Linked DNA regions of Notamacropus eugenii. The protein of the gene in region 4 interacts with the protein of the main gene of each other region in a biochemical or structural test. Links are inferred from orthologs where the notes say so. Each region holds a gene or a part of one and is shown on either strand. Other genes may lie near its edges.

Region 1 (6,768 bases), on a different chromosome or scaffold from region 4:
CTTGGCCCCCATACCATCCTCTCTCTCTTCTTCTGGGATCAGCTTCGATTCTTTTACCAGAAATACAATCAGTGACCACTACTCAACTCCAAATTTTCCCTCAACACACTCCATTTAGGAAGGATTACCTTTCTCCCCCTTGATCTGATATTTCTTGGACCCTTTCATACTTTTAGGTGTTAATGACTGATAATCACTTATTCACTCCAACTCCTCACACCCTTTTTCTCAGGGTCAAATCACTATGTGGGGCACTCCCATCCAATCATCATCACTCCTGCCATCATACACAGCTTACTTACTTACTTACCCTTACTCTCAGGGTTGAATCAATCAAAGGGATATTTTCTTCTTGCCCAGACTGCTAGCTTCCAGTTCCCATGCATAGCTTTAAATCTCCTCCCCCAAAACCAAAGGGAACTGGAGGGACCTATTTTCATCCCTGCCTCTAGATTCAAATTGTATAAATGCTTCCTCCATCTCCCCTCCACCAAAGCCACAGAGATTGTATTGGTATAAAGCAAGTTTATTTCTGCAAAGGTGGCGCCTTATGTCTGTCTGTGGAACAGGGGATATGAGGGAAACCCCAACCATCAATCCCTTGCTTCTGTTGGGGAATCCAGACATTCAGACACCAGCAGCAGAGGGCAGTTCAGGATCTTTCCCGTGGGCCAAAGATGCTGGGGTCAAGGAGAGTCAGGGAAGACACTAGTCTTTCAAAGTCAACCAGGGTCCAGGGTGGGAGGCATTGGGCTTCATGGCCTTGGGGTGGCCTACTCCCAGAGCTGGGGAAGAGAATAAAAGGATTACACAGGGCTCCGATTTCTTCCTCCACAGCAAACAGGCATTTTCCCCTGCCACTCCCACACCCCACACCTCCTCCTCCTTTCAGCTCCTCCACCAGCAAGAATTCCCCCAGCCTTCCCCTCTTCCCCAATCCCCCATCAGTGACCCAGTCATCCAGCCCAGACGCTCCATTTACCTCGGCTCATTGAAAGTCAGCAGGAGGTCAGTCCCATATTGGGGCAATCGGAACAAGGCCAGGTGTAAGATCACATCCTTTTCATTCTGTGGGCAGCAGAATCAGCTCAGATTATTGTGCAATCAGCCAGTGTCGGAGCTGCCGGGACCCCGAAGGTCATCCCTCCTTTTCCCTGGCTTCGAAGCCCTTTCCTCTGAACTCCACTCCCGCTCTTCCTTCCACCACCCATTCCAGCCCCTGGCTGGGCTTCCCGCAGGGTCTTCTTCGACATCCCCCTCCTCCTCCCGCAGACCACTCTCCCTAGCCAACCCCAAAGCCCTCACCTCCTCGCTCTCCTTGACCACACGCTGCCGTCCACAGAGGACCCAGGCTTCCCGGCAGCCCCGAAGAGACAGAGCGTGGGGGGAGAGAGGCTCCACAGCCTCGACTTGCTCGCTCCCTGTCCCTTGCACCCCTCCCAGAGCCTCGAAGTGGTACCTAGATGGGGAGGGCGAGAAGAAAGGGGGGGAGAGCGTGACAATTTCAGACACACCCTCCCTGCAGAGGAGGCCCGTAGGCCACGCCTCCTCCTCCACTGGAATTCATAGCACTTTCCCATTGGCTAGAAAAATGCCCCCGCCCCCGGCGGAGGAGCTCACCGCGCTGCTGCTTCTCCTTGCACGTGCGCCTGCAGCTCCAGGAGCTCCACGATGAGACTCTGCTCCGTCCCGCGGTGGCAGAAAACTTCCTGGTTGTCCGGTACCGGCCGGAAATCACTGAGGGGCAGAGGCCGAGTATGAGCACGATAACCTGCCCCCCCGCTGTCCCGCAGGCTCCCGTACCCCCCCACACCCGGCAGTGACCTCTGACCTCACGTCCAGAGCCCCTGGAGGAAGGGTGATGGAGAAGGCTCCCCCGAACAGCGGATGATTTCGTTTGGGCTCCATAGACGGGTCTGTAAGGGGGCGGCGAGAGAAGGGAAAAAGTTTGTGGAGGAGCGATGCATTCCCTCCCCTCCCCCCGCCAGCGTCCTTAGCCGTGAAGGCGGGGCGGGGGCAGGTGGGGAGAGTGGGCACATGTTCTCTCATCCTCCGGGCCATCGCGTTCTTTCCTTACCTAGTAGTCTTCGTTCTTCTTTGGTTGGGGGCCCTTTAAGGTCTGGCCCCGCCCCCCGACCCAGCCACCCAATGGGCGCCGCCACCTCCCCCCCCTTGGTCTGCCGGGCTAAACTCAACTGCCTAAAAGATGGAGGAGGCGGTGGGGTCAAATATCTTGCCGAGGACCAATGGGAGAGATGAGCAGGGTCTCTGGTTTTGTGACGTATACGGCAGGCTCCCTGGGGGCCACTCATGGCACGGCCCTGGCCTCTTCTTAAAGAGGCTGCCGCTAAGGTAAAAAAGGCTGAGAAGAGTAGGAGGACAGGACGCCGTTGCGGGTTCAGCGTTTGTGTTCTCCGCTTGGTTCGGAAGGACCGGACGCCGGTGCCCCTCCCGCAGGCCTCTCCTCAGCCGCCGGAATAGTATCCAGTTTTTATCAGTTAATCCCCGGGGACTAGCTGCGAGATTAAGGAAACCAAGGGACCAGGTGCCGGACCCTCCCCAGCGCTCCAAACGCACACGCCCCTTCCTGGTCCCTGGAACCCGAGACGCCAGCCACTAATTGCTTGAGTAACCCAAGTAATGCCCGCGGCTCCTTTCCCGGGAGCGCTACGGGGAGTGCAGGCGTGGGAGAGTGGGGCGGTGCAGATCTGGCCGCAGGGCTGGATTCCTCGGACTTGGGCACGGGAACACCCAGGTTCCAAGAGTGGGAACAAAGATTTCCAAGGTCATCCCGTCCCACCCACAGCTGAAAGGAAAGTCAAAGCATTCTTCTTCAGCTTGATGGGGTCCGCAGGATCCTGAATTTGGAGTCCAAGGAGACCTGGGTTTGAATTACGGGTCTGCCACTTGGAGGGGGTTGGACTCCAGTGGCATAGCTCCAGATGGGTGATCTATCCTTGTAAGTAACAGTGGAGAAGTTAATTGTCTTGTAATTCCACTTTCGTACAACGCTGGGACTTGGAGCTGCTGACGCTAGGGTCAAACCCCTCCCTGCCATTTACCATTTGTATGACAGGGCTACAGCAACATATTCCACCTCCCTCATTTTACAGATGAGGAAACCAAGGCTCAAAGGGATTCAATGACTTGTCCGGGGTTACATAGCTAGTGTCAGACCTGTCTTTCAGACCCAAGTCTTCCTGGCTACAAGTCCACTACTTTTTTCACTCCTCTTCACTCAAAAATCTTAGACTTTAGGATTATTAGGAATTTCATTATGAAGTTGCCTTTCTGCAACTTCTACACCTTGCTCCCATATTATTAAATCCTTTTCCTTCCCTGTTTAGGGTGTTTGAGTTGAGACAGGAATTATATCTCAACTTTCTCCACCCCCACCCCCAATATACTTCTTCCCATTTCCCATTAGGGAAGTCTATATGAGGCCTAATCTTCTTGTGTCCAAGAGATGGCTTCCCCTTCCTTAAAATCCCACAGTCTGCAGTTCTACAAGCCCCTTCTTTGACTCTTATCTTGGTGATGGGGTTTCCCATCTCTTCTCCGGGCCAAGAAGTGTTCTGCCTCTGAGTCAGAACTGGAATAAAACATTTGTGTGCTTCACTGGAGACCGGGTTTGAAAATTGTACTACCCTCCTTCTCCTAGGGTCTCCTACCTCTAGTCCACCCCCATCCCCAGGAGATTGTGAAGCCAAATAACTGTATTTATACAAGATGAAAATCTGAGCTGAAATCATGATCTTGAGGTGACCTTTGGTGCTATGCTGATGAAGCACAAACCTCTTTCCCCCCTCAACCCCGCCCCAACTCCCTGCCCAGTTCTAGCATGAGGGGTTGAGGCCTCCCCCAGAGTACCTGTGCCATGTACCAGACTGAACTAGTTCTAACTGGAGCTCTCAGAAAAACTTGACAAAATGAGAGCTTTGAAGCAAATTTTTATGTTGGTTTTCTTGACTGAAGGGCTTGAGCGTAGAGGGAGGATGGAAAACCTGTTTAAGGCCCCCATCCCGTATCTCCTCTATCATCTCTTCTCAGCTTCTAATCTCAGGAATTTAAACTTTGTAGGACAGGAGGGGAGGACAAAGCACCTAGACAGCAAGGCAAAGCTGAAGCTGCAGAGGATGAAGAAGGTAGAAGACAAAATCATCCTTTTTCAGCTTCCCCTCTACACTACACCCCCACTCTCAGCCTAGCACCTAAAATGGAAAGAGGAATGGGATTCACTCCATCTATCTCGATCTGAGAGTAGTGTTATAGATGTAGAAATCAACAAACATAAAGTTGTATCTTTAATTAAATGTCTACAATGTTCAATGTACCATACCAGGTGCTGTAGGCAATACAAAACCAGTTTATAAGACTAGTAATGCCCCAAAGAAAGAACCAGTCTGCCTAGTAAAACAGGACATTCATGAGTTAATTTCATTTCAATGGAGCACTAAGGCCTAACTCAAGTCTGGGATAGTACTCATTGATATGTTTGTATATTAGAGGGTGCAGAGAGGTCAAGAAGGTTGAGGATTGAGAAAAAGGCTTTAAGATTTGGTCGTTAAGAGATCTCTGATAATTTGGGGGAGAGAAGTTCCAGTTAAATAGTGAGGTCAGAAACCAGACTACAGAGGTAAGAAAAGAGTAAGAGGAAAGGAGTGGAAGAATCAATGACAGATCACTTTCTCAAGGAATTTATCCACAAGACAGGATGATTGTTAATGGGGATGGCTAGGTCAATCAAATGAAGGGTTTTTTTTGGGGGGGGGGGGGGTGGAAAACTAGAGGGGACAGAGAGAGGCATGTTTGTAGACCAGAGTAGCAGTCAGTAGATGGAGAGATAAGTGAGTGGGGATAATGAGGCAGATAATCTGCTAGAGAAGATGGGAAGGGATAGGATCACTAATGTGTGTAGAAGAATGTGCCTTGGTAAGAAGGGCCACTTCATGAGAGACAGTAATGGTATAGTGTGGGAAAACATTTGACTGATGCAAGATGAGGGGGAGGGGAGAAGAGCTCTTGGCAAATGGCCTCAATTTTTTTTAACATTAAGGCAAGGTTCTCAGCAGGAAGGGTGGGGAGAGGGGTTGCTATGGGAAGTTTGAGGAGGAATAAAAAGATTTGGAAGAGCTGTTACATGATGAGTAGGACAGTAAGTTAATTAGAAGGAGTGTAAGTGTATAGTCTTGTTTAGCAGCAGTGAGGTTTAAATTGGTAGTGGACCCAGTCAGCAGGATTATGATTTTCTCCAGCTTCATTCTGAAGCATGTGAGTAGGAGGGAAGGCACTTTCCTGGTTTTAAAAAAGTGGAAGTAAAGAGAGGAGAAAGAGGACAGGATAGGGGTTCACAGTAATCCTTACTGTGAATGTGAAGAAATTGTAAAATGAAAGTTATAAGAATGGATTTGAAAAACAATCCCAGGGATGAAACAAGGATGTCCATTATCACTCGTTATTCAACACGGTACTAGAAATGTTAGCTTTAGCAATAAGACAAAAAGAAATTGAAGGAATTAGAGTAGGCAAAGAAGAAACAAAGCTATCTCTCTTTGCAGATATGATGATATACTTAGAGAATCATGTAAAAAATTACTTGAAAAACAGAATCCCAAAATATGTTGGGATTCTATGGAACATGGGTCACAAAACCAAAGATTTACAGTTAAAATGAGATGGAGCAAAAATCTATTATGCTTCAGCTGAACGAAAACAAAAAAGCGTGAGTAGTAATCATTACAGATGTTACAGTAAATACAGATGTAACACTGACTACCCTCGCTCCCACTGTCAAGTCCAGGTAGGTGAGATTTCGCTCTTCCCCCACGGTTCTCCGGTACTTATGGGGATTTGGGGTTTAGGTTCTCTGCAATGGCTCCAGCTTCCATTGATGGTGTTCCCTTGTACTCTAGTTCTGTTTAACCCCCAGAGAGTCAAATTAGCTTTGACAAAGCAATATTTACTTCAGAAAGTATAATCACAAATTTATTCCCCCAATTCGTGGACCTCCTTATATGACCTCAGTCTCTATAGAGGGGAAGATTAGGTTTATAGCTTAGCTCAATTCCAGTAGAGTAGAGGGCCTCTTCCCCATCCCCCAACCCCAAGATTAATAACCCTGGGGGTAGCCAGACACTCTGGCTTCTCTGGAGCTAGTCCAGCTGGCTACACTAGCCAGTCCAATCCTGGACAAAAGGTCACTCAAACACCCCAGGCTAATGGAGATCACCTCCAGCACCTGAAACAGGACAAACAACACAGAACAGAAACAAGTACTTCCAGTTCCATTTCTGGAGACAAGTTCAAAGAGGGTGCAGGACTCACTTTGGTATGAAAACCTATCTTACAATATAGGAAAGTAGCAGAGAAGGGGATAAGCAGGGTGGGGGGGATGATGGAAGGGAGGGCATGGGGAGGAGGGAGCAATTTGAAGTCAACACTTGGGGAGGGACAGGATCAAAAGAGAGAATAGAAGCAATGGGGGGCAGGATAGGATGGAGGGAAATATAGTTAGTCTTACACAACACGACTATTATGGAAGTCATTTGCAAAACTACACAGATATGGCCTATATTGAACTGCCTGCCTTCCCAAAGGGAATGAGTGGGGAGGGAGGGATGAAGAGAAGTTGAAACTCAAAGATTTAGGAACAACTGTCGAGTACTGTTCTTGCCACTAGGAAATAAGAAATACAGGTAATGGGGTATAGAAAGTTATCTGGCCCTACAGGACAAAAGAGAAGATGGGGATGAGGGAAGGGAGGGATGA
Region 2 (7,558 bases), on a different chromosome or scaffold from region 4:
GAAAACCTGAAGGGTGGAGGGACAAGAGGAAGGGGGAATAAGTATTAGATGCTTCTCGGGACCTGGGTCCCAACTCTGCCTTTATCACTACACAGAAAGGGACTGTCTCTGATCAACTCCAAAGTCAAGTTCCCCACATAGGGCTCCCCGGAGCCCGCCTCCCCGCCCACGGCTCTAAGGATGGGTTCCAAACGGCGATCTCTTTAAATCTCTTTAAATGGTCATCACAAGTCCTGATCATACCAGCTGGTATGACAAATGCACAGAACCGTGGGGGCCCCAGACACCCCAGGCCCCTGCCTCAAGAAGGTGTTTGGGTCAAGTACAGTAATGTCAGAGTCAGGATAAGAGGCCACAAGTGAGGCGCCCGAGCTCATTCCGTCTGAAGTCCAGGACGGCGGATGCCGGGCCAGGAGTCCAACAGCACAGCAAGAGGAAGAGGATGGGTCCCGTCCAGGAGTGGCAGGGGTGAGCCCTACCCCGGCAGGCGGGCCGTGACTCGGGAGTCTGGTCCAGGGGGCAGGCAGGACACGGGGGCCTTCCTCACATGCCGTGCTTCTTTCGGATAACGGCCATGGCCAGCAGCCGGTCCTTCTCGCGGAGCTCCTCCCGAAGCTTGGCCTCGGTGAGCCGCAGGTGGCGGATGCTGCCTTTCATCTCCTTCATCTTCACCTCCATCAGGGCCAGGATGTCTCGCTGCTCGTTCAGCTTCCGCAGCAGCTCTTCCTCCGTGGTGCCCGAGGACAGAGAATAGGAGTGGTCCGAGCCCGTGTCCGGGAAGCCCTCCTCGCCCACCACCACCAGCCTGGGCCCCGAGGCGGCCGCGGGAGCCGCGGGTACGCCGAGCTCTGGGGCGGGGGCCCCCTCGGCCGAGGCGAACTCCACCTGCACCGTCAGGTCGATGGGCTTCACGTCGTCCCCGGCCGGGGGCTGCGGGGGCGCGGCGGGGGCGGCGGGGCCGCTCTCCACGGCCGCCTGCAGGGTGAGCAGCACTGCGGCCGAGGCGGACACCAGGGACGCCTGCGAGGGGGCCGGAAGCGCGGCCGGCGGCGGCTGCGGCTGGGGCTGGGCCGGCTGCTGCTGCTGCTGCAGCTGCTGCTGCTGCTGCTGCCTCCGTCGGGCGGCCGCCCCCGCCGCCCCGCCGCCCCCGGGCCGCCGGGCCTTGCGCTCGTTGACGCCGCGCAGCGGGAAGATGGTGGGGACGCGCACCGTGTAAGTTTTGCGGCCGCCCTGGAAGTGGACGCTGCACAGGCGGTGGCCGGCCGTGGGCTGGAAGGTGGAGAAGCAGCCGCTGACGCCGGCCCGCGACACGTTCTTGAGCCACTGGCGCCGCAGCTCCGCGTCCTTGGGGAAGGTGTAGAAGTGCAGCGCCTTGTCCCGATGCGAGTTGTTGTAGCAGCCCGGCACGCAGCACGTGAAGCCCGGCATCGCGGCGGCCCCGGCCCTCCGACGGCCCCGGCCTCGGGCCTCGGCCGCCGCCCTGGCCGCCGCCGAAGCGCTCGGCCCGGAAAGCTCGGAGGGCCTCGGCCGAGACCCCGGCCTCGGGCTCCGCCTCGGGGCCCGGCCTCACCCCCGGGTCCGGGCCTCGGGACCCCGGGACAACCCACCGACGGGCGAGGCCTCGCCGCTGGCCCGGACCCCTACGCCCCCCACCGGCCGGGCGTCGGCGTCTCGCCCCGCCCCGAGTGGAGCCGGGCCTCTCCTAGCCTCGCTCGCTCTCCTGGGGACGCTCCCCGACGGCCCCCGCGCCGTCCACCCGCCCGCCGGCAGTCCCCGCAGCCACCAGAGCCTGTCAGTCAGTCAGTCAGTCCCGGGGCCGAGACGAAGAAGCGCCCTGGAGGTCGGACTACGCCTCCCACAATGCACCGCGTCGCGCGCTTCCGCCGTTGGCCGCATTGCTTCCGGGGTCAAAGCTGGAGGTGAGGTCAGAATGATTCGGCACTCGCCCGGGAAAAACTATCCGACTGGTGTTCCACCGGGGCGAAGCTCCAGCTCTGGCGGGCGGAACAAGAGATGTTTCTGGACGGATGAACTTAGAGTTCCTTGCGGAACGCCTTACTCCAATTGGAGAACTGCTTTTCCCACAATGCACAGCTTCCCGCGCGCCCCGCCCTCCAGTTCAGGGCGGGGGACTACAACTCTCGGCGGCCAGTGCGCGCGGCTGCGACCCCGCCTCTGCTCTGGGGAGCGCATCTTTTCGTCAACAAGCCCACGCCTCGAGGTGGCGGGCCAGTGTCCCGCCGGGGGCTGGGCGGGAATGATTCCTCGACCCAGTCCTTCCCGGGTCTTTCGCCCGCCCTCTCCCCCATCTGCAGGACTTGGAAACCATCCTGGGCCAAGTGAGGCCCAGAGGGCAGAGGCGACTCGCACTCACCCGGCCAACAAGTGACCAGCAGTTCTTAAGTCCCTGCTGCGTGCCAGACCCTGGGCCGGTCCTGCCTTGTGGTCCAGGGCCCCGCCCCCTGTCCTCGTCCATCTTCCTGCCCTTTCCCATCACTCTCCGCCCCACCCAGCTGTGGCTCCCCAAAATCATCGGGCTGTGTCTTCTGCCCCCCCCCCTCCCGGCCCATTTACCTCTTTTCTCATGGATCGTTTCAAGAGACCCTGGGGTAGGGTCGGAGGGGCGTTGGAGCCTCGGGCTGGTCAGCGTGCTAAGCCCCGAGCCTTGGCTGAATGTCCACCCTCGCCCAGAGGGAGCTTCGGTCTGGTCAGCGTGGGGAGATGGAGATGGCTACAACGCACACGCCCCGCTACAATGGTTACAAAGTAGCAGAGTCCGGGAGGACCGAGGCCGCTGGGCACGGAGTGCCCCCAGACCAGCCCTGCTCAGATGAAGACCCGTCTATCTGAACCCAAAGATAGCGAGGATACAGGGCACGGTTCCGCAGGACCAAGACCAGGTGCCGCTTGGGTCAGCCCAGCCCCTGGCTCCAGGAGACTTCCAGTCCTCCGCTCCCTATAGGAGACCCATTAGGTACTTGTGGCTGGTCTGGTTCTTTGAATTCAGTAGGAGGCTTGATTTGCGATTTTTGAAAACTGTGAGGGAGCTTAGATTTTAATTGGTGTACTGCCGTATTGACAGCTAGCTAAAAGGGGCCAGGAGAATGGGGAAGAGTTAAAGACTCATGAGATTTTCATCCAACTCTCTGTGATCTGAACACTGTGGTCTTCATTCATTCATTCATTCATTCATTCATTCATTCATTCGTTTTGGGTTTTTTTTTTAACAGTATGGAATTGCTCCTACCCCCACCAGACTGGGGCATTTGATCTTCCTTCTTCATTAAAGGACCCTTCTCCTTTGGATTCAGGCAGTCAGGTCCATACAAGATTCATTTCTGGGGTAACCCAGCCTCTAATAAGAGGATTTAGACTCTCATTTTTATTTATTTCATTAAGTATTTCTCCATTTCTTGTAAAAAAATTTAACAATTTTTAAAATTTTGAGTTCCAAATTCTCTCCTTTCTTACCCTCTTCTACCCTTTGAGAAGTCAAGCAATATCTCAAGTATACATGTGAAGCATGCAAAACACTTCCACATTAGACAAGTTTCAAAAGAAAACACACACACATGAAACCCAAGAAAAATTTTTAAAAGTATGCTTAAATTTGCACTCAGAGTTCATCAGTTCTCTCTCTGAAAATGGATGGTATTTGTAATCATGGATCTTTGGGTACCATCTTGGATCATTGTCCTGATCAGTGGCTCTCTTTTTTTAAATTAATTTTTAGTTTTCAACATTCAGTTTTGTAAGATTTTTCCGTTCTAAATTTTCTTCTTCCCTTCTCTCCTCCCCCAGACAGCATGCAATCTGATATAGGCTATACATGTACAATTATATCAAGCATATTTCCACATTAGTCACGTTGTGAAAGAAGAATCAAAACAAAAGGAAAAACCAAAAAAAAAGAGAGAAAATGGTATGCTTTGATCTGCGTTGGGGCTCTACAGTTCTTTCCCTGGATGTGGATAGCATTTTCCATCATGAGTCTTTTGAAATTGTTTTAGATCATTGCATTGTGACAAGAGCTAAATCTATCCAAGCCAGTCATTGTACAATGTTGCTGTTACTGAGTACAATGTTCTCCTCGTTCCGTTCATTTCACTCAGCATCACTTCATGTAAGTCCAGGTTTTTCTGAAGTCAGCCTGCTCATCATTTCTTATGAAACAATAATATTCCATTATCTTCACATACTACAACTTGTTCAGCCATTCATCAGTTGGTGGGCATCCTCTCAATTTCTTTTTTTTTTTTTTGAGGGGGGAAAGCAAGGCAATTGGGGTTAGGTGACTTGATCAAGGTCACACAGCTAGTAATTGTCAAGTGTCTGAGGCCAGATTTGAACTCAGGTTTTCCTGACTCCAGGACCAGTGCTGTATTCACTGTGCCACCCAGCTGCCCCTCAATTTCCAATTCTTTGCCACACAAAAAGAGCTGCTAGAAATATTTTTCTACTTGTGGGTCCTTTTCCCATTTTTATGATCTCTTTGGGATACAGACCTAGTAGTGGCATTGCTGGATCAAAGAGTATGAGCAGTTTTATAGCCCTTTGGGCATAGTTCCAAATTTCTCTCCAGAATGGTTAGATCAGTTCACAATTCCACCAACAATGCATTAGTATTCCAGTTTTCCCATTCTCCAACGTGTATCATTTTCCCATTTTGTCATGTTAGAGGCTGTCCTTTATAAAAACATTTTTTCTATTAAAATTATTTTTCCCTTCCTTCTTCCCAATTAAAAAAGAAAACCAAGTCCCTTGTAACAAAAATGTGTAGTCAAACAAAACAATTTGCCACATTGACTATATTTTAAAATGTATGCCTCATTCTGCATGTTGAGTTCATCACCTTTCATTCAGGAGGTGAATAGCGGTGGTTCTTCACTGATCCTTCCCAGTTAGAGTTGGTCATTGCATTGATTAGAGGACTCAAATCTTTCAAAGTTATTTGCCTTATAGTGTCATATGTTGTATAAATTGTTCTCCAGGTTCTGCTCATTTCCCTGTGGATCACTTTGCACAAATCTTCACAGGTGAAACTGCCTTTTATAATTTTTCCAACAATGGTATTATTAGGCTTTTTCTCACACTAGTAATCCAGAGAAAACTTGCTTTGGTGCCCGTCTATGATCTATTCAAGGTAGGGAGCAGAAAAAGTATTTCATTTACAATGTAAATCAGATATGGGACAGATTTATTTCAAATCAAAACACAACTGGAAATGTACATGTAGAACCCATATAAGACTGCATGTCGTCCTGGGGAGGGGATTTATGGAAGTGATTGTTGAAAACTGAAAACAAATTAATAAATTTGGGGAAAAAAACCCACTGGAACTGGAAGGGAAGCTTTTTCACAGGCGATGAAAAATTTACATGTTAGTTAAGCCAACAGTCATTTATTACATGTTTCACATTAAATTACATCAACAATCATTTCTTGTTTAATATGTGTCAGTAACATGATTGTTATCTAAATGGTTGTAAAGTGGAGAGATAGATAGCACAGATTCTCCAAAGATACAAACAGAAAACAAAATAAAATTTAAACCAATTACCTGAACTCAAGAAGCTCAGAGACTAATGAGTTCTGGGAATGATACTCTGAATTGTCAGGATAATTTTCATTTTAAGTGTTTCACAAAGCACCCCTCCTAAGTTCATCATGAAAATGGTTATTCACAGAGACAGAAAATTATATAGTCACAAGAAATGGGAAGCAGAGCCTGTGCCTGGTTTGGTCCCAGCCCCTCAAGATTCAGAAAAGAATCTAATGCAATTTTAAAAGAATTTTGATGAATCCGGTAGAGTCTTTGGGACCATCTCTGTCAGCCCTTCCAGAATGTTTAGAAGAGACTCCTTTAAGATATACGGTTTATTTTTTTTCCCCAAGTGTGTTGTTTATATTCTAAACCCAAAGTTAAGACCAATTCCTACATCTCCCATAATACAAATTGTTTTTCCACCCCACCACACAATTGCTCTGCATATTACATCTCATTGTGCATGCAACTTTCTTAATTTCTCCACCCTTAAAAATCCTCTTTTCCACCAATTAGTACTTTGTACTTCCCAAATAAAAGGCTCTGTGGGGACTGGAAGAAAAATTAGGAATCTTATACATATCACCTTCAGAGTGATTTCACTGGTTCCAGAAGTTGCTGCTGCTGTTGCTATTGGAGCCACAGAAACCAGGAATGTTCCTTAACCAGCCCTTGGAAATCATCTGTTCCCATTGGTCAAAGAGGTGAAGGGATCTACCTGCCCAGTGTCAAACAGTTAACTAAAACCCTGGTGGTCCCCAGATTCTTTCTCCAGCACACAACAGCATCCCCCCCTCTCCCCCAGCCAACTGAAGAAAATCAAATTCATTGGAGGGCTAGAAACTGTTTAATCAGTTAATTAACATTCAAACATAACTCTCAGAAGTCCCTAATCCCAAAGCATAGCAGAGAGTGACTGGACAATTTACCTCAAGTATTTTCATCTCAGAATTTACTCAATTTTTCTCAAAGGAGGTGGGCAGTGAGGTACAGTGAAAAGCTGTCCAAAAGAGGTCTTGGATTCAAACTGTGCCCCTGATGTTACCTGTGTGACCTTAGAACTTTTTGAGTCAGTTTCTTCAACTGCAAAATGAGGAGGATTTAACTAAATGGCATCTGAGATTCCAACTGAAGTCTTATCCAGCTTATTCTTCCCTGATTAACCCATTTAGTTCTCCTGGCTCACATACTCTGGATCATCCTTTCCTCCATCTATTTACATATCTTCTCCGTTGCCAAGTCATCACCCTGATTCAGGACCTCATTACCTCTCACCTGGACTCTTGTCATTGTCTCCTAATTGCACCTTTCAGGCTGTCTCCAAACATTCCATTCTTCACTCTGATGCCGGAACAATCTTCCAGAACTACAAGTCTGACCACATCTCTTCCCAGTTCAGAAACCTCAGTGTCTCCCCATTACCTTGAAGATAAGATATGAACTCTTCAGTTTGTCATTTAAAGTCCTCACAATCTGCTTCCAACTTACTGTGGAAAGCAGACATATATGCTCCTTGTCTCCCTTTCAATAAAATTAAAGTATTTTAAAATGATAAATTTTATATGTTTAAATTATAAACTTTATAAGTGTTTAAGAATTAACCACTTAGTTAAGAAACTGGCAATGTTCCTGGCAATGGATTAAGGTATCTCAATGGAAAATGCCTCAGTCTAGTTAAGATCCATTGCCTAGCCCCATACTCTGAAAGGAATAGGGCAATGAGAGAACTAAGTGGTCCATAGTAAGTAAAGTTCTGGACCTGGAGTCAGAAAGACCTGAGGTTGAACCCTGCCTCCATCAACTACTAGAAGTGTGATCCTGAGTAAGTCATTAGCCCCTCTTGACTCAGTTTCCTCATCTGTAAAATGGGTATAATAATAGCAGCTACCTCACAGTTGTGAGAATCAGCTGATATAATGTGTGTAAACCTTAAAACTATAGATTACTGTAAGCTATTGTTATTATCAGACTGAAGTCTCTTGAATTCACCTTAGACCAGATGGAAAGGAGAAA
Region 3 (7,742 bases), on a different chromosome or scaffold from region 4:
TTTTCCTTTTTCTACCACACTTACCTTTGCGCCTTGGGGAAGACTGATCCGGTTTCGTTGTGCACTTGAATGATTCTTGAAATACTTGACCTACCTATACAAAGAGCTTCTGCAGTATCTGTAACAGTCATTGAAGCATGCTCTTTAAGAGCTATAACTTCTACATGTTTCACTGGAGAAATAGCCATTTTTAAAACCACAAGATATAAGGTGGGGTCAGCCTTGGGTCAATAAAAGCATATATGTATGACCACTTGATCCCAAGTAACATCACAAGCTGCTGAGACATGTTTTAAAATCCTGTTCTTACCTAAAAAAATTAAAAAAAAACAAACATGTTTTACAACCCCAATAATACACACCAATAACCAGCAATAATTATGTTAAATTCAAGTTGTTCCCTGCATGGTTTGTCTCCTCAGTCACAGTCCAAAGACCCTGAGAAGGTTTAGGAATATGCAGGTGCAGACACAAGGCCCGGCTTGATATCCAACGTTGTGGAATGGGACTGTACGTCTTAGGGCAAGGGCCCTACGCTCCCTTTCGCCACCTGGACAGAGCCTGGGGAGTGATCCTCAGGATATCCACGTTGGAATGGATGACTTAAGACAAGTGACAAGTGACAAGCTCCGAGCAGGAAAAAAATAAGAATCACTCACCTATTGTCAAGAAGAAACACTCCACGCTAAGACAATACTGAAAAAAAGAGAAAGAATAATTTAGTCCTATCCCAACATCAAACTATGTAACAATACTCTGGGACAGTGCTGTTTCCTGCATGGTTTGTCTCCTCAGTCACAGTTCAAAGACTCTGAGAAGGTTTAGGAATATGCAGGTGCAGACACAAGGCCCAGCTTGATATCCAACGTTGTGGAATGGGACTTTATGTCACAGGGCAAGAGCCCTACACTCCCTCCCGCCACACAGACAGCCTGGAGAGGTTCATCTCTCCAGGGTATCCACGTTGGATATTGAAAGATATTAAAAAAGGAACATCAAACTAAAACTTGACACATGATCCGACGTAGAGGATTCAACTCCAGATGATGCTAAGTTACCAATTACAATTTATGGGAAAGTGCTATGACTCCAATGTCTAGTTAACTAATACGTTTTCCACAGGTTGACTGAAAAATATCAGCTTCTACAGGCAATGTTTTAAATACCTCCCAAAGATAACAATGAAATTATTAATAGCGCCACATCTTTAAGAAAATGTCAACTCACCCCAGCTGTTTTCCAGACTTGTCTGTTATGAAAACCCTAAAGAGCAAGAGGAAAGAGATTTTCAAAGCAAGAAAGAACAAAAAAAATATCCTATCTAGGTTCAGCGTGCAAGTTACTGAAGCAATAACAGTTGTTTCCTGCATGGTTTGTCTCCTCAGTCACAGTCCAAAGACTCTGAGAAGGTTTAGGAATATGCAGGTGCAGACACAAGGCCCGGCTTGATATCCAACGTTGTGGAATGGGACTGTACGTCTTAGGGCAAGGGCCCTACGCTCCCTTTCGCCACCTGGACAGAGCCTGGGCTCATCTAGCCAGGATATCCACGTTGGATATTCAAGGGAGATTTAACTGACTCAACAAAAATTGAAACGACCCACTGAATTTTGTACATATAGCCTTGTCAATCAGTTATTTCCTACAAACATAGGTCATTCCCTTAAGCATGCCCAAAGATCCCACCCATGGCAGAAGGGCTCCAAGACAAACTTTTCTTTGTAGAGATATGGAAATGATTTCCACAACACTTGGCCCCTCCAAGAGGATTCGGAGTAGAAATTTTTTTACAAGATTCCTCTAAATACTGAGTCAAATCCTATCTGAAGGTTAGTTGTACTGAGTCCAGCCACTGTAAACCGTTACTTTTACACTGCCAGGTGCCCCCCCCCTTCTTTCCTTACATAAAGATTACACATTTGATCAAGCCACTCCCCTGATCAATAAACTTCAGTCTCTGTGAAGAGGTCTCTCCTGGCACTTTAAGCTCTTTCAGTTACTCCATCCCACTCTAACACATTCCATTACAGCCACCCGTACTTAACTGCTCCCTATAGGGGGTACTACATCCCCACGTGGCTGTGGTTTTCACACATGGCTCCCATTCCCCAGCATGGGCTCAGCACCCAGCGACTTCTGAAGCCTATCAGAGGCGCGGTGCCCACCTTCTCCACCGGTGTAACAGCTTCTACGCCATTCCTTTCCGCCCCTTTCCTCCCCACTGCAGCCTGGCGACTAAGGAAGCTCCCTGAGGGCTGGGATCACGTCTTCCACCGCCTGTTTACGTATTACTTTAGTGCTTCCCCCCAATCTGCGGCATATTACTACCCCCTAACAAAGACGTGGACACTGAGGTTAAGAGACCAGCTGGATGCCCCCGGGTGCCTCCCACTCTTCAGCCGTGAACCACTGGGGGGAGGAATCAATCCCCAGTCACTACGCACGCTAGCACGCGTTACTAAGGGGCCTTTACTGAACGAACTGAAACAAGTCTTTCCTGGAGAAGGAATAAACATTAAACACCTCCTGCGTACCAGGGAGGTACCGCAGACTTTACAAACGTTATCTCACATTTGATATTCTGAGGTCGGATTAGAACTCGGTCCTGCCCAGCTTCGGGCCCCTTGCACCGGCCGGCCCCCTGCTGCTGGGCAGCCGCCGGCCCGGCCGGGGGTGACGGCGGATGGGGCTCGAGGGCCCCGGGGAGCGGGTGGGATGGGGACCCAGGCATGAGCGGGAGGCTCTGCGCACGCGCCTTGGCGGCGGCCGCATGGCGGCCAAACTTTTCCTGCAGCTAAAAAGGGAAGGAGAAAAAAGGGGATCCGAAAGAGAAAGCCGGAGCCAGGGGGCAGGGGGCAGGGGGCAGGGGGCAGGGGGCAGGGGGCAGGCATGCGGAGAGACCAGGGTAGAGGCTGACAGAGCCACACCCTTACTTACCTCTACGACTGACAAAACAACTCCACCGTCACCGCCGAAAGAGAGAAGCACCCCCTGAGCACGCCCATTTATACCCGGATTGGGGCGCGCAGCGGCTTCTGAGCAGGCGCACATTTTGGCGTCGCACCGCGAGAGTTCGAAGTAGCTTGGGGCGGAAGTGACGAAAGAAATGGCGACAGTCGCACGACAGGATCGAGAAATCTCGCGAGATATCTGTCCGTGAGCTCCTTCGGTTGGGCTTTTTTTTTTTTTTTTAAGTTTGTTTCCCAGGTGCGCCTTGCGGCGGGGAGCCAAAGTGGTTTGGCTACATTGTAGCTCAGGCGCCTACCTTGTGCTGAGTGGAGGAAAATGAAGGTTACTCTTTTCCTTAGAGCCCTGACTTTCAGTTCATTTAAGAAAGCATTTATTAAGTGCCAACTGTGCTGTAAGAGCAGAGAGGAAAATAAAAGAATCCTTGTACTCAAGGATTATTAATTCAGGTCCACACCTCCTCGTGCAAGCATGGATTAGCTTCCATTTAATTGCCCCTCTTAAGCTTGCCAAGGGCTTTACAGGTATCTCCTTTGATCCTCGGGAACCCTGAGTGGGAGGGGCTGTTACTATCCCCATTTTACCGATGGGGAAACTCAGACAGATGTAAATTAACTTGCCCAGGGTCGCAGGATCTGAGCTCGAGGCTCCTGGAACTTTAAAGTCAGGGACTCTATTATAAACGAATGAATGAAAAAAACATTTATTTAGCTCTTCCTGTGTGCAAAAAAGTGTACCATGGGCTGGAGATATAAATAGAAAAGAGCTTACATCTGAAAGAAGATAAGATATATAATGCATCAATAAACATGTATTAAGTGCCTTCTGTGGACCCTATACTGTGCCAAGAATTTGAGATACAAAAGGTGGCAAAATTCAGTCTCTGTCCTGAAGGAGTTCAGAATCTAAAGGGGGAGACAATGGGCAAATACATCCAAAGTAAGTTGTATACAGCATAAATAGGAGATAATTAACAGAAAGAAGGCATTGGAATTAAAAGGGGTTGGGGAAGACTTCCTGTAGGAGATGGGATTTTAGTCCTGACTTAAAGGAAGCCAGGCAGGTCAGTAGTTGGAGCTGAGAAGGGAGAGCATTCCAGGCATAGGGGACAACCAGAGAATATGGAGAGGTGGAATATCTTGTTGTAGCAATAGCCAGGAAGCCAATGTCACTGGATAGAAGAGGACATGTCAGGGAGTAAGGGATAAAGAAGATGGAAAGGTAAGAGAAGGCGAGATTATGAAGGGTTTCAAGTGGCAAATAGAATTTTGTATTTGATCCTGGAGGCAATAGGGAGCCAGTGGAGTTTATAGTTATAGAGTAAGGTGGGGGGGGGGGGGATAGGATCTGTGTTTTAAGACAATCGCTTTAGTGTTTGATGATGAGAACCTGCATCAGAATGGCGGCAGTGTCAGAAGAAAGAAAGGAGCATATTGGAGAGATGGTGCAAAGGTGAAATCTACAGGTCTTGACCATAACTTGGATACGGGGAGTAAGAGATAGTAAAGGTATTGATAATGTTTAATATAAAATTTTGGAATAATCTCTTTGTTCTCTCTGAAGCAAACTCAGAGAATGCCTCTTCCTATGTCAGCAAAAGCCAGCCAAAGCTGACTCTGCACTCCTTGGGAGACCTTTAACCTATGACATATATTGAATAATGGGACTTCCCTTTATATCTTATTATCTATAGACACATACGATGTTATGACATATCTTGAATAATGGACACATACTATGTTATGGGATATTAATGGTAAAGAAAAAATAGGCATCCTGGGTTTCTATTGAACATTGTTTGCCCTTTCCTGTGTCAGTTACCTGTTTGGGGCAGGAAGCCTGCCACTTACTAGTGGTGGGATTTCCTTACCACCTGGGACATATGTTTACCCAGCTTGGAATCTCAAGACCTGACTGACATTGCTTTGTTAATTGTCCTGTCTTACTGAATTTATGATTTGCTTAATTAGGAGAGTTTCTTTCTCATGGCAAAATGTACTTAAGACAGATAATTTCTGTACTAGGTAGTCAGAGTCACCTCTGAGTCCATAGCGCTATGTAACTGTTTTCTTTATGGGGAATTGATCAATTAATTAATTAAATCATAAAATGTATGCATTTAGCCATGTTGCCTTTTCTTAACAAAGTTTTCAGGTCAACAGTATACAAGAGGACTTCTAGGTTGGGAGCCTGAGGAGAATGCTGTTGCCCTCTACAATAACCGAGAAGGTAGCAAGGAAGAAGGGATTAGGGGGATAGATCATGAGTTCTGTTTTGGAGATATTGAGTTTAAGATGTCTCCTGGACACCCAGTTTGAGATGTCTGAAAGGCAGTTGGAAAGGTGAGATTGGAGATCAGCAGAGAAGATGGAGTAGGAAAAGTAGATTTGAGAATCATCAACATAGAGATGATTATTAAATCCATGGCAGCTGATGAGATCACCAGGTGAAGTAGTATAGAAGGAGAAGAGAAGAGAGCTCAGGACGGAGCCCTGTGGGACACCTATGGGCATGATTTGGAAGAGGATCCAGGAAGAAAAGACAGTGGTTAGTAAGGTAGGAGGGGAACCAGGAGAGAGTGGTACCTCAAAATCCTAGAGAGAAGTGAGTATGAAGGAGGAGAGGGTGATCAACAGAAAAGCCACAGAGAGGGAAAGGAAAATGAGAATTGAGAAAAGGCTTTGGCAACTAAGAGGTCATTGTTGTTGTCTGTTAGTAACTTTGTAGACAGCAGTTTTGGTGGAATGATAAGGTCAGACTCCAGATCTTAAGATCTGAAGAAGAGGGTGAGGAAAGAAAGTGGAGGTAGCTATTGGAGATAGCTTTTGTGAGGAGGTTAGCTGTTATTTGTCCTTCATTCTCGAAAGGGGACCATGACATCAGAGAGGTGACATGCAAGTGAGTTGGATTTAACTGAGGGAGGACTGTGCAAAGTCACCAGCCTGACTTTCTTCTCCAGAGTCATCTGGGTCCAGTGGCAAGATACAGATCAGGATGACTGGAAATGGCCCTGGATGCAGTGGGAGACCTTGTCCTTTTTAAGCTAAGGTCTTTAACAGGTCTCAGTTTGATGGAAAAAATGCACAATAAGTGATTAAGGCTAGGTAAGAAATGAACCAGAGAATAAAAAATGAATCAATCTGGGAGGGAAAGGCCCTCAGAGTTTCTGGCCAAAACAGAAACAATTACTATTTACATTCACTCTGAATCAATCAGGGCTCAAATAATGACCAAGTGAGGCTTGGCCTGGGACTATTGTTGGCCAATCAATGAGTGCCAGAGTGATTTGGGTTTAGGCGTGGTCCTTAATGAAAAAAAATCTAGACCATAAGCCCCAAAACAGCCTGCAAGGTTTCAGTGATCAAAATTTACATTCCTTTGGTCAGAGCACTAGCAGGCAAGGGTATGATACCCTTTGTGGACAGTGGGAAGAGAAGGGAAGGGAAAGGAGAGAGAGAGAGGTGAAAGAAGGAAGGAAGGAAGGAAGGAAGGAAGGAAGGAAGGAAGGAAGGAAGGAAGGAAGGAAGGAAGGAAGAGTTATGTTGCCCAACTGGCCAGTTCCAGTTGGGTCTCTAGTCAGCAGCTCCTACTACTACTCACAGAGGTTGTTATTTGTCCTTTGTTCTTGAAGAGGACCATGACATCAGGAAAGTGATACCATAACATGCAAGTGAATTGGATTTAAGTGAGGGAGGACAGTGCAAAGTCACCAGTCTCACTTTCTTTTTCAGAGCTATTTGGGTCCAGTGGCAAGATATAGATCAGAAGGACTAGAGATGACCCTGGGAGCTGTGGTTGTTTGGTATGGCAATGAATAATTAAATCAATTTGGGTAGTATAATTTTTATTACACTGGCATGAGTAATAAATATGTACCTATACTTAGTTAGGTCTATTTAATTTTTGTCACCTTTAACAATTGTTGGAGAGGCTACAATTAAAAAAACACACAGATTCACAACTAGTGCACTCTGGAAAACAACCTAGAACTATGCCCCACCAAAGTCACTAAACTTAGGGTATTTGAGGGAGAATCAATCTATATGTTGAGTATGAGGGCAAGAGTTGGGGAGGAGAGAAAAACTGTAATGCAGTTATTAAACTCATTGGGGGAGGAAGGGGAGTGACTTGAGATCTGTAGACAACAGCTTACCAGAATTTTTACTGGGTGGCAGATATGGATAACATGAACCCCAAGGAACAGAGGTTACTAAGTGATGAAGGAAGGGGGAAAACTAGGAAGTAGCAATGGGGAGGAGTATTCCAAACTCCCCACCACAACTAAAGAGAATTAATGAAAGTACAGCCAGTGATATAAAGGGTGGCCAGGGATCCTATGTGATCAGAGGTGCTGACCTCAAAACTTTGTTAGAGAAAAGGCAACAGGCTAAATGCATACATTTTATGATTTAATTAATTAATCAATTCCCCATAAAGAAAACGGTAACATAGCACTATGGAGCCAGGATCAGAACTGGCTGACTTAGTACAGAAATTGACTGTCTTAAGTATATTTTGCCATGAGGAAGGAGTTCTCTTAGATAAACACATTGTAAACAAAGTGTCGTCAGTTGAGTTTTATGATCCCAAGCTATGGGCATCTTCTTTCCATAGCATGTCTCTGTGATTTAAGATAAGGAAAAAGTCCCATCACCGGGATAACAGATATCCTCTCCTAAACAGGCCTTTGAAGTTGTTTATCTTAACAAAGTTTGACAAAGCTGAAGTCACACCCCAAGGTATTTGTGTTTTTCTCTTAACACTAGGATGCTAGA
Region 4 (7,970 bases):
AATACCAGAATTTCCAAAGTGGAAGGGACCTCAGTATCCATCTGGTGTAACCCATACCTGAAAAAAAAAAATCCCTTTTAGATAAAATGGACTATGTTTTTAAAACCTGTATAAACAAAATGAATATAATTACAATTAGAAAGGAAACAACTAAATGGGCAAAAATCTTAGCGGCAAGTTTCTCTAATAAAGATTTTATATTCAAAATATTTAAGGATCTGATTTAAAAATCTATGTATATACAAGAACTATTCCCCAACAGGTATTAGGATAAAAACAGGCAGTTCCCAAAGGAAGAAATCCAAGCAATCAACAACCATAATAAAAAAAAAAACAACCCTTCAAAATCACTCATAATAAAAGAAATACAAATGAAAACAGTTCTGAAGTTCTATCTCACATCCATCAAATTTTAAAAAAGATTGAAAAGATGATAGACTTAAAAAGACAAAAAAAAAAAAAGAAAATGGCAGATTTTGGAGGAGATGTAGAAAAACATGCTGAATCATCTGTTGTTGGTATAGCTGCAAATTGTTCAGCCATTCTGGAAAACAATTTAGCACTATCCCTATAAAGTTACTAAACCATTTTTTTACTCTTTGACTTATGATATCACTATTGGCCTATATTCCAAAAATGTCAAAGGAAGTAAGAAAAGACCCATATATTAAAAGAAATACTAATAGTAGCTTGATTTGTTCTAGTGAAGAACGGAAACTGAAGGAATGCCATCCACTGTATAATGGCTCAATAAATAATGGTATTTGAATGTAATAGAATGTTATTCTGTCATAAGAGGTAATGAAATGAAAGGTTTCAGAGAAACTTGAGAAAAAAAAAACCACAAACTTGTATAAATGGATTCAGAGTGAAGTGAGTAGAACCTAAAGAACAATTTGCTCAATGACCACAACAATGTAAAGTAGAACACACCTTCAGGGATCACTAACCCAACTTCCACGTAAGCAGGCTGGAAACCCAGAGGACAGTTGATTATCTTTCATTCCATGGTTCTAGGGGTAATTCTGAGGTATTAGGGATTTTTCTAGTACTATTTCTCTTGAGCCCCCATCAGTGTACTCCCCATTGCTTAACCAGTTAGTATCAATTAGCAAGTCAGAGTTAATTAACTTTTTAGTTAGGGGTACTATATTTACTAAAGCTGTATAGTAATAATAATTGGCCAAAAACCCCAAAACATTCCCCCCAAAAGACTGGGATATATTCACCCACAACTATATATAGCATCTAGGGGAAATTAGGTTAAACTTTAGAAAATATATATGGCAAAGGGGTAATTCACAGTTCCTTGATAGATGGAAGTCCTTTCTTTCCCTTCCTGGAGTCCTTCTGCAGTTCACTTGAGGTGTGCTCTGAACTCTGAGGGTTGGGGTCCTTTTAGAGTCCATTCGTAGCAGGGCTTCATGTCTGAGCCTGTTGTGTTTGTCTCAGCTCAGGGACCATTAGTTACAGAAGTGAGTGCAAAGGATTGTTGTTATGCTAAGTTCAGAGTACAACTTGCTTGCTGGGCTTTAGCTCTGCAGAACGTGACATCTCCTTATATCTTGATATAAGGAAATTTTTTTCTGATATCAAACCTAAACATCATTCTTGACTTCTCCAGGATCTACTTCTGACTCTTCTGACATCCTCAACCATGCCATGGTAGCCTTCTCACCCTAGAAATTCTCTCTGCCTCTTCTTCTGATTGGTCAACTCCTCCCCAATCCTCTATTTTAAGGAGAGTGCCCAGGCCAGTCAGGTTGTCCTTCTTTTCTGGGCTCCACCCTTGACTCTCTGGACTTTCTCCATCATGCCTAGACCCTGGTACCTTCTCAGCTTCTTTCTATACATTGTTATTGCCTTCCTTCAGGGCAGGAACTATCTTTCCTAATGCTGGTATTTGTATTTCCTGCACTAAGCATAGTATATGTTTGTTTAAAGCCAATTCTTTCTTATATAGTGGATTGAACTACAATAGGTCCCTGTCCAATCTCCACTTAATGACTGTTTTTTGGACCCTCCTGGGTGAGAGGGTCCTCCTAGAGTGAGTCTCAGTGGTAAGTGTTGCTCTTTGGAACAGCAACCCTGAGGGCCTTACCCTCCCAGCTTGACTTTTTTTTATTTTTCTAATTAAAGGGGCCTTCCCTTGACTACTTAAAGAAGCCTATTCACTGAATGGGCATTACCTCACTCTAAGGGAGTACCAAAAAAAGCCTTAGCCTAAAAGGGCAAGCCAGGGTCTCCCTTTGCATCCTGGGCCATCTCCAGTCATCCTGATGAATATCAGGTCACTGGATCCAGATGGCTTATGGGGAGAAAGTGTGACCTTGCACAGCCCTCCTGCACTCAAGTCAAAGTCAACTACAAGTCATGTCATCATTTTCCTGATGTCATGGTCCTCTTTGAAAATGAAGGACAAGTACAGCAACAACTAAGCATAGTGCCTAGGACATAGTAGGAGTTTAATAAATGTTTGTTGATTTCAGTTTGCAACTTTTACCCAATGCTTTTAGTTCTACCTTCTAGGCATGCAGAACCCCGTCTTCCCTGTGTCAGCCCTTCAGATATTTGAAGACAGATACCATGTCTCCTCAGGATTCTCTTATTTAAGCTAAACATACATGCTTGTACAAATAATATTCTCCAGTCCAGATTTTAATTTAGCTTCATGTCCAAAGCATTTGTATTTCCTTGTTACCTCTCAGAATTTCTGGCTTCTTTCAAGGCTCAATTTGTGTCATTTCCTAGAGGAAATCTTCCCTGATGCCCCTGATCATTAGTGTTCTATCAATCTCAAAAAAATCATGTGTGTATATACTTAATAAGTCCCCACTCTGCCTCTTGTAAATTCCTTGAGGGAAATGGATTGGGTTTTGTTTTCTCTTTTTAATCCCACCATTTAGCATGATATTTTAGACATAATGGACACTTAAAAATATTTCTTGGAGTAGACTGGATTGTTGGATTTGCCCATGGAGGAGGGGCAGCACCCTCTCCCAGAATTTCTATCTATGGCTATCTGGCCATTGAACAAGTTCAAAATAGAATGACTACTTGTTGGGAATGTTGTTTCTCTGGTCAATTACAAGTTCCTCTACCAGTGTATTCCAGATTCTCTAGACTTTTTACTGTGCATCAGCCACCTTCTCAGCCTTGAAGTTTCACTAGAGTCAGTGGCTTCCTCACTCTGGAACATCCCTTTGTGCTAAGACCCTCTTTTCTCATTGGGGAGTTCCTTTTGAAACCTCCGTTTTGGGAAAGTGTCCAGGCCAGTCATCCTTCCAGCCTCTCCCAGCTCTACTGGCTCTCCAGACTTTACCACCATTCCTTTAACTCCCAAAACTTTTGTCTTGCCACTGGACTTTGGTGACTCTAGAAGAGAGTGCTAATGCTGCAACTTCAGTTCTCAGATTCAATTCACACACAAGTGAAGACATCACCCTGTGATATTAGTCCTCTTGCAAAACAAGGACAAGCAACAACCACCATCTCCCTGAGCATATACTTTATCCCTCCCCCTCCTTTTTAGGCTGATTTTATTTTTTATCTTCCCCCACTATAATGTGAGTTCTCTGAGAGTAGGAACCTTCAGCTTCACTTTATATGCCTAGCACTAACAGGGTCCCGCACATATTAAGGACATAATAAAAGGTGCTTGATTGACTGATTTGTTTTGACAAGATGTCTTGAAGGTTCCATGAGAGGAAGACTGGTATGATAACAGCTAATATTTATATAATGCCTTCAGGCTTGCAAAGTGTTTTACATGTATTTTACATTTGAGCCTTACCACAACCTTGTGTTTATAATCTTATATCCAATTTGTAAATAAGGAAATTGAGACTCAGAGAATGACAGTGGAAAGAATTGGACCATTCATCCATCATGAATTCAAATCTCAATTTGATACTTTTTCTTATCTGTAAAAGTGATAATATTTAGGCTATTTTACAGGGTTGTTCAGCGAAAAGTGTTTTGTAAACCTTAGTGTTATATAAATGGAAATCATTATTGTATAGAATGTGACCTCTTTGTGGTCAGCAACTGTCAGTTTTTAGTTTTGTATGTCCAGGACTTAGCACAGTATCTTACAAAGAGTCCAGGCAGCTAGGTGGCACAGTAGATAGAGGACTTGAGCCCTTTCTGAGTCAGGAGGACCTGAGTTCAAATATGACCTCAGACACTTAGTAGCTGTGAGACCCTAGCCAAGTCACTTAACCCTCATTGCCTCAAAAAAAGAGATTTTTTAAAAAAAACCTGCTCTGTGCCAAGCGTCTCATCCGATCCTCACAACAAGCCTTGGAGGAGTCTGAGGCAGACAGAGACAGGTTAAGGGGCTGGCCCAGAGTCACACAGCCCGGTGTTTGAAGCCACACTTGAACGCAGCTCTGGGTCCCCAGGATCCACCCTCTGCACCCCTAGCTGCCTGGATTTCTTCCAGCGCTAGGGCTGACCCTCATGGCTGGAGGGGCAGAGGATTCACCCATCCAGACCCTCTCCCTCCCCGTCAGACCCTTTACGCAGCCCCGAACGTGCCCGTGTCCAGCATGGTTAGGATGGGAGTCACTGCAGCTGGACCTGGGCTGGCTGGGTGGCTCAGCCCCGGATGAGCGCATCAGCATTCATCTCCAGCACGTGCACCCTCCCCGCTCTCCATCTACCGGGGGTGAGCCATCCCGGGGCCCAAGCCGGACTGGGCGAAGCTCCTTGGGGGAAGGCGGCTTGGCTCCTCGGAGGACTGCCGAGCCTTTAAATCCCTTGGAGGAGAACCAGCGAGGGTCATCGAGGCGGGCGTGGGGGGCAGCGGGAAGGAGGCCGGGCGAGCCTCCCTGACTCAGTTTCCCCTTCCGTGACGCGAGGGCGCCGTGCCCTCCACACAGGCCGCGCTCCATCAAGGCTTGGGCACGACCTCGCTGTTAGCGAAGGCCGAACCAGAGGGTGCGGATGTTGTCAGCAATAACACCGCGGCGCGTAGGGGGCGCTCTGCGAAGCGCTTCGCCCCGTCTGACGCCCACGGTTAGCTTTATTCTGGTTAGTGCTTTGCGTCTCGGCTTTTGCGGTTTCCTGGAAGGTTCAAGCTCGGACCCTAAAGCCCGGCAGACATCGGGCCTGACGCAGGAGAGGCCCTCGCGTCTCCCGTTGGCGGGAGCCCACCTCCCTCCAGAGGCGGTTGGGGCGCGCGCTCCCAGCAGGTCCTTTGGGGCGCATGCGCACGAGCCGGCTGCGCGCCGAGGCGGGGGCGAGAGCGCGGTGAAAGGTAGGTGGGGCCGGGAAAGAAGGAACTAGAGCTCGAGCGCGCTCCCGCGGCTGCCTCAGCAGGGCCTGGGGGGGCCGCGTGCGCATGCGCACACGCCAACCGGGAGCCGAGGTGGGACCGAGGCCAAGCGCCAGAGCGCGGTAAAGGTAAGGTAAGACGGCATGGATAAATCTCTCCACCGCGGTCTCGCGGTCTCGCGGCATGGATAAATCTCTGCCAGGCTTTTGAGAAGCGCATGCGCAGGGGGGGGAAAGCATGAAGGCGAGAGCGCGGTAAAAGCTTAGCTGGGCGGGGGTAGAAGGGATTAGAGGAGTGGGGAGCGTTCTCGTTTGAGGTGGCGCATGCGCCATAGTCCGCCGCAGCGCTCCCGATTGCATTGTAAAGCCCAAACGTCGGCGCGCCCCCGGTCTGTCAGTCCGTTTCTCTCTTCCCGCCCCCGTCCCCTAGGCCCCGCCCTCTCTCCCTTTTTTGGGGACAGCCGGTAACGTAACGTCGACTTGGGCGCGCGGCGCCCGGAGCACGTGGGGGCACGTTGCGCCGTTGCCCCGCCCCCCTCCGCTCCCCTCGGCCCCTCCCTATTCCGCGCGCGCGGCGGCGTCGGCTGCGTCTCCGGGTATTTGAATCGCGCTTCCGCCATCTTTCCATCGTTCAGTCAGGCGGAGACGGAGACGCTTCTGGAAGGTAGCGGCGGAGTGGGGCGCGGGGGGTTGGCCCGGGCTGGGGAAGGGGGGCCGGGCGGGCGGGTGTTGGACAGGAAGGCATCGAGGACCGACGCTGAGAAGGAGGCGGCGGGCCGGGCTCCCCGTCTCTCCTCCTAGGGGGGTGGGCGGCCGCGGCGGACCGGGCCGGGCTTGGCGCGCTTTGTGTGAGGAGGCCCCGGCCGCCAGGCCGTGCGGAGGCCGCGGATCGTGAGGCAGCCGGGGAAGGGGCGGGAGAGGCTGCGAATGCGGTGCGGGTGCGGTGGGGGGGGCGGCCTAGCCTTCCCTCCCCGCTCCTCCAGCCACTCCCGCCCCTCCCGCCGCGGGCCCCATGACCAGGCGGTTTTCCCGGGCCCGGTCCGGCCTCCACCGCCCCTTTTTGGCGTCTCCTGGAGACGCCCTTCGGGCCCTGACGGTTGAATGAACCCGAGGCTCGGGGGAAAAAAAAGGGCCGCCGCCATTAGCGCCTCATTCATCCCCCTCCTCCTCGCCGTCGGCGCCCCACGCGGGCGGGGGGAGGAGCCGCGGCCTGGGCCGGGGATGAATGGGCCGAGCAGGGGCGCGGAGGGGGCGCTTTGTGGGGCCGCGGGGCACGTGGCGGGGAGGGGGAGCCCGAGCATGCGGCCTCGGGTCCGAGGGCCTGACGCGCTTGTGTCTCTCCCCCAGAACCATCGCGATGGCCGCCCAAGGAGAACCCCAAGTGCAGTTCAAAGTACGTAACTCCTGGGGGGGGCCGAGATCGCCGAGGTGGGGGCTGGGGCGGCTCTTGAGGACACAGGAAAGACCGTTGGATCCCAAGGCCTTGTGATGAGAAGCAGAGTTTGCACGCCCGTATCCCAGCTTACATAACAGGCCTTGAAATAATCTTTATAAATTGATTACCTCCTAAACTGTAGTAAGGCTTTTTCATCCAACAAGGAACTAGTTAGTATTTGCCAAATGAATGTTCCAAAAAAGTATTTAGATGATTTAGTTGATACATAAAACAGTTAAATGTAACCTGAAAACGGTCTGATACTTGATTACTTAAACTGTGGTAGCTCTCTGAATCCACCATAGTATGTGGAAATGGATGTTAAGACATTTAGATGGTATTGTTTGATACATGGAATGGAGAATGTTTGTGTGTGTTTTTGAGAAGTCCACCTAAAATATTTTATTTTTCAACAGCTTGTATTAGTTGGAGATGGAGGTACTGGAAAAACCACATTTGTGAAACGTCACTTGACTGGTGAATTTGAGAAGAAATATGTAGGTATGTATCTTTTTTACAAGTTAGTTGCACCAATTTCAATAAAATAAAATCAGTGAACTAAGTCAAAACCTTTTGCTGTTCCAGCCACCCTGGGTGTTGAGGTCCATCCTCTCGTGTTCCATACTAACAGAGGTCCTATTAAATTCAACGTATGGGATACAGCTGGCCAAGAGAAATTTGGTGGTCTGAGAGATGGTTATTACATCCAAGGTATGTATACAACTGTTTTGCATGTTGTTATATCAGCTGTATGTTGCCAGAAGTTTTTTTCAGATATGTGTATGTATAAACATTTTTACAAGTGACTTCTGGTCTTTGGGGAGCTCCTGTGTTTAATAGAGGACTGAGATTTGAATCTCAGCTGGTCTGCTTGGATATACCAAATCCAAGATGTTTGATGATAGGTAAAATGAAAAGGGTTCAGCTGAAGTTCCTTTCCTTAAGATCTAAAATGGCTATGACCTTATTAAAACAGCAGAAAGGAACCTCCATATATTTTGTCTGAGGTATTAAAGTTGTAGCATAATATTTCATTGGTTAGTCATGTAACATTTAACCAAGTTGTTTCTAATAGGTAAACTTTTATATTTGAATTTTTGAAAGGTACCATGTCAGTGTGCATAGTTGTAAAAATCTTTACACTTTGAAAATAAACTAAATATATAACAGTAAGTGTTGGAGCAAAAATTATAGGACTTAGAACTTGAAATTGGATTTCTCTCAAGCTTACACTGAAGTCTAGAGTGTTTAAGCCCAT

What was found.
Region 1: the proteins of RAN (region 4) and RANGRF form a complex in vitro, tested with the Homo sapiens proteins (2 studies listed by BioGRID). The link is inferred for Notamacropus eugenii from reciprocal best matches to the Homo sapiens genes RAN and RANGRF.
Region 2: the proteins of RAN (region 4) and NUTF2 form a complex in vitro, tested with the Homo sapiens proteins (3 studies listed by BioGRID, with this or other methods). The link is inferred for Notamacropus eugenii from reciprocal best matches to the Homo sapiens genes RAN and NUTF2.
Region 3: the proteins of RAN (region 4) and RCC1 form a complex in vitro, tested with the Homo sapiens proteins (6 studies listed by BioGRID and IntAct, with this or other methods). The link is inferred for Notamacropus eugenii from reciprocal best matches to the Homo sapiens genes RAN and RCC1.

What each region holds. Positions count from the first base shown.
Region 1 is NC_092873.1:77,545,379-77,552,146, forward strand, and holds RANGRF (ran guanine nucleotide release factor), read right to left. Parts: upstream 2,197-6,768; 5' UTR 2,078-2,196; intron 1,917-2,077; 5' UTR 1,909-1,916; coding exon 1,832-1,908; intron 1,738-1,831; coding exon 1,621-1,737; intron 1,460-1,620; coding exon 1,306-1,459; intron 1,069-1,305; coding exon 983-1,068; intron 786-982; coding exon 653-785; 3' UTR 511-652; downstream 1-510. Other genes in the region: SLC25A35 (solute carrier family 25 member 35), read left to right, coding at 1-75. UniProt on the Homo sapiens protein: May regulate the intracellular trafficking of RAN. Promotes guanine nucleotide release from RAN and inhibits binding of new GTP by preventing the binding of the RAN guanine nucleotide exchange factor RCC1.
Region 2 is NC_092872.1:696,159,859-696,167,416, reverse strand, and holds the start of NUTF2 (nuclear transport factor 2), read right to left. Parts: upstream 3,011-7,558; 5' UTR 2,575-3,010; intron 1,565-2,574; exon of another isoform or gene 1,429-1,564; coding exon of another isoform or gene 544-1,428; exon of another isoform or gene 1-543. Other genes in the region: THAP11 (THAP domain-containing protein 11), read right to left, coding at 544-1,428. UniProt on the Homo sapiens protein: Mediates the import of GDP-bound RAN from the cytoplasm into the nucleus which is essential for the function of RAN in cargo receptor-mediated nucleocytoplasmic transport.
Region 3 is NC_092876.1:69,629,708-69,637,449, reverse strand, and holds the start of RCC1 (regulator of chromosome condensation), read right to left. Parts: upstream 3,015-7,742; 5' UTR 2,938-3,014; intron 2,618-2,937; exon of another isoform or gene 2,572-2,617; intron 1,557-2,571; exon of another isoform or gene 1,264-1,556; 5' UTR 1,228-1,263; intron 969-1,227; exon of another isoform or gene 766-968; intron 697-765; 5' UTR 660-696; intron 594-659; exon of another isoform or gene 393-593; intron 1-392. UniProt on the Homo sapiens protein: Guanine-nucleotide releasing factor that promotes the exchange of Ran-bound GDP by GTP, and thereby plays an important role in RAN-mediated functions in nuclear import and mitosis.
Region 4 is NC_092875.1:46,255,117-46,263,086, forward strand, and holds the start of RAN (GTP-binding nuclear protein Ran), read left to right. Parts: upstream 1-4,957; 5' UTR 4,958-5,034; intron 5,035-5,175; exon of another isoform or gene 5,176-5,941; intron 5,942-5,959; exon of another isoform or gene 5,960-6,125; intron 6,126-6,624; 5' UTR 6,625-6,634; coding exon 6,635-6,670; intron 6,671-7,128; coding exon 7,129-7,213; intron 7,214-7,297; coding exon 7,298-7,423; intron 7,424-7,970. UniProt on the Homo sapiens protein: GTPase involved in nucleocytoplasmic transport, participating both to the import and the export from the nucleus of proteins and RNAs. Switches between a cytoplasmic GDP- and a nuclear GTP-bound state by nucleotide exchange and GTP hydrolysis.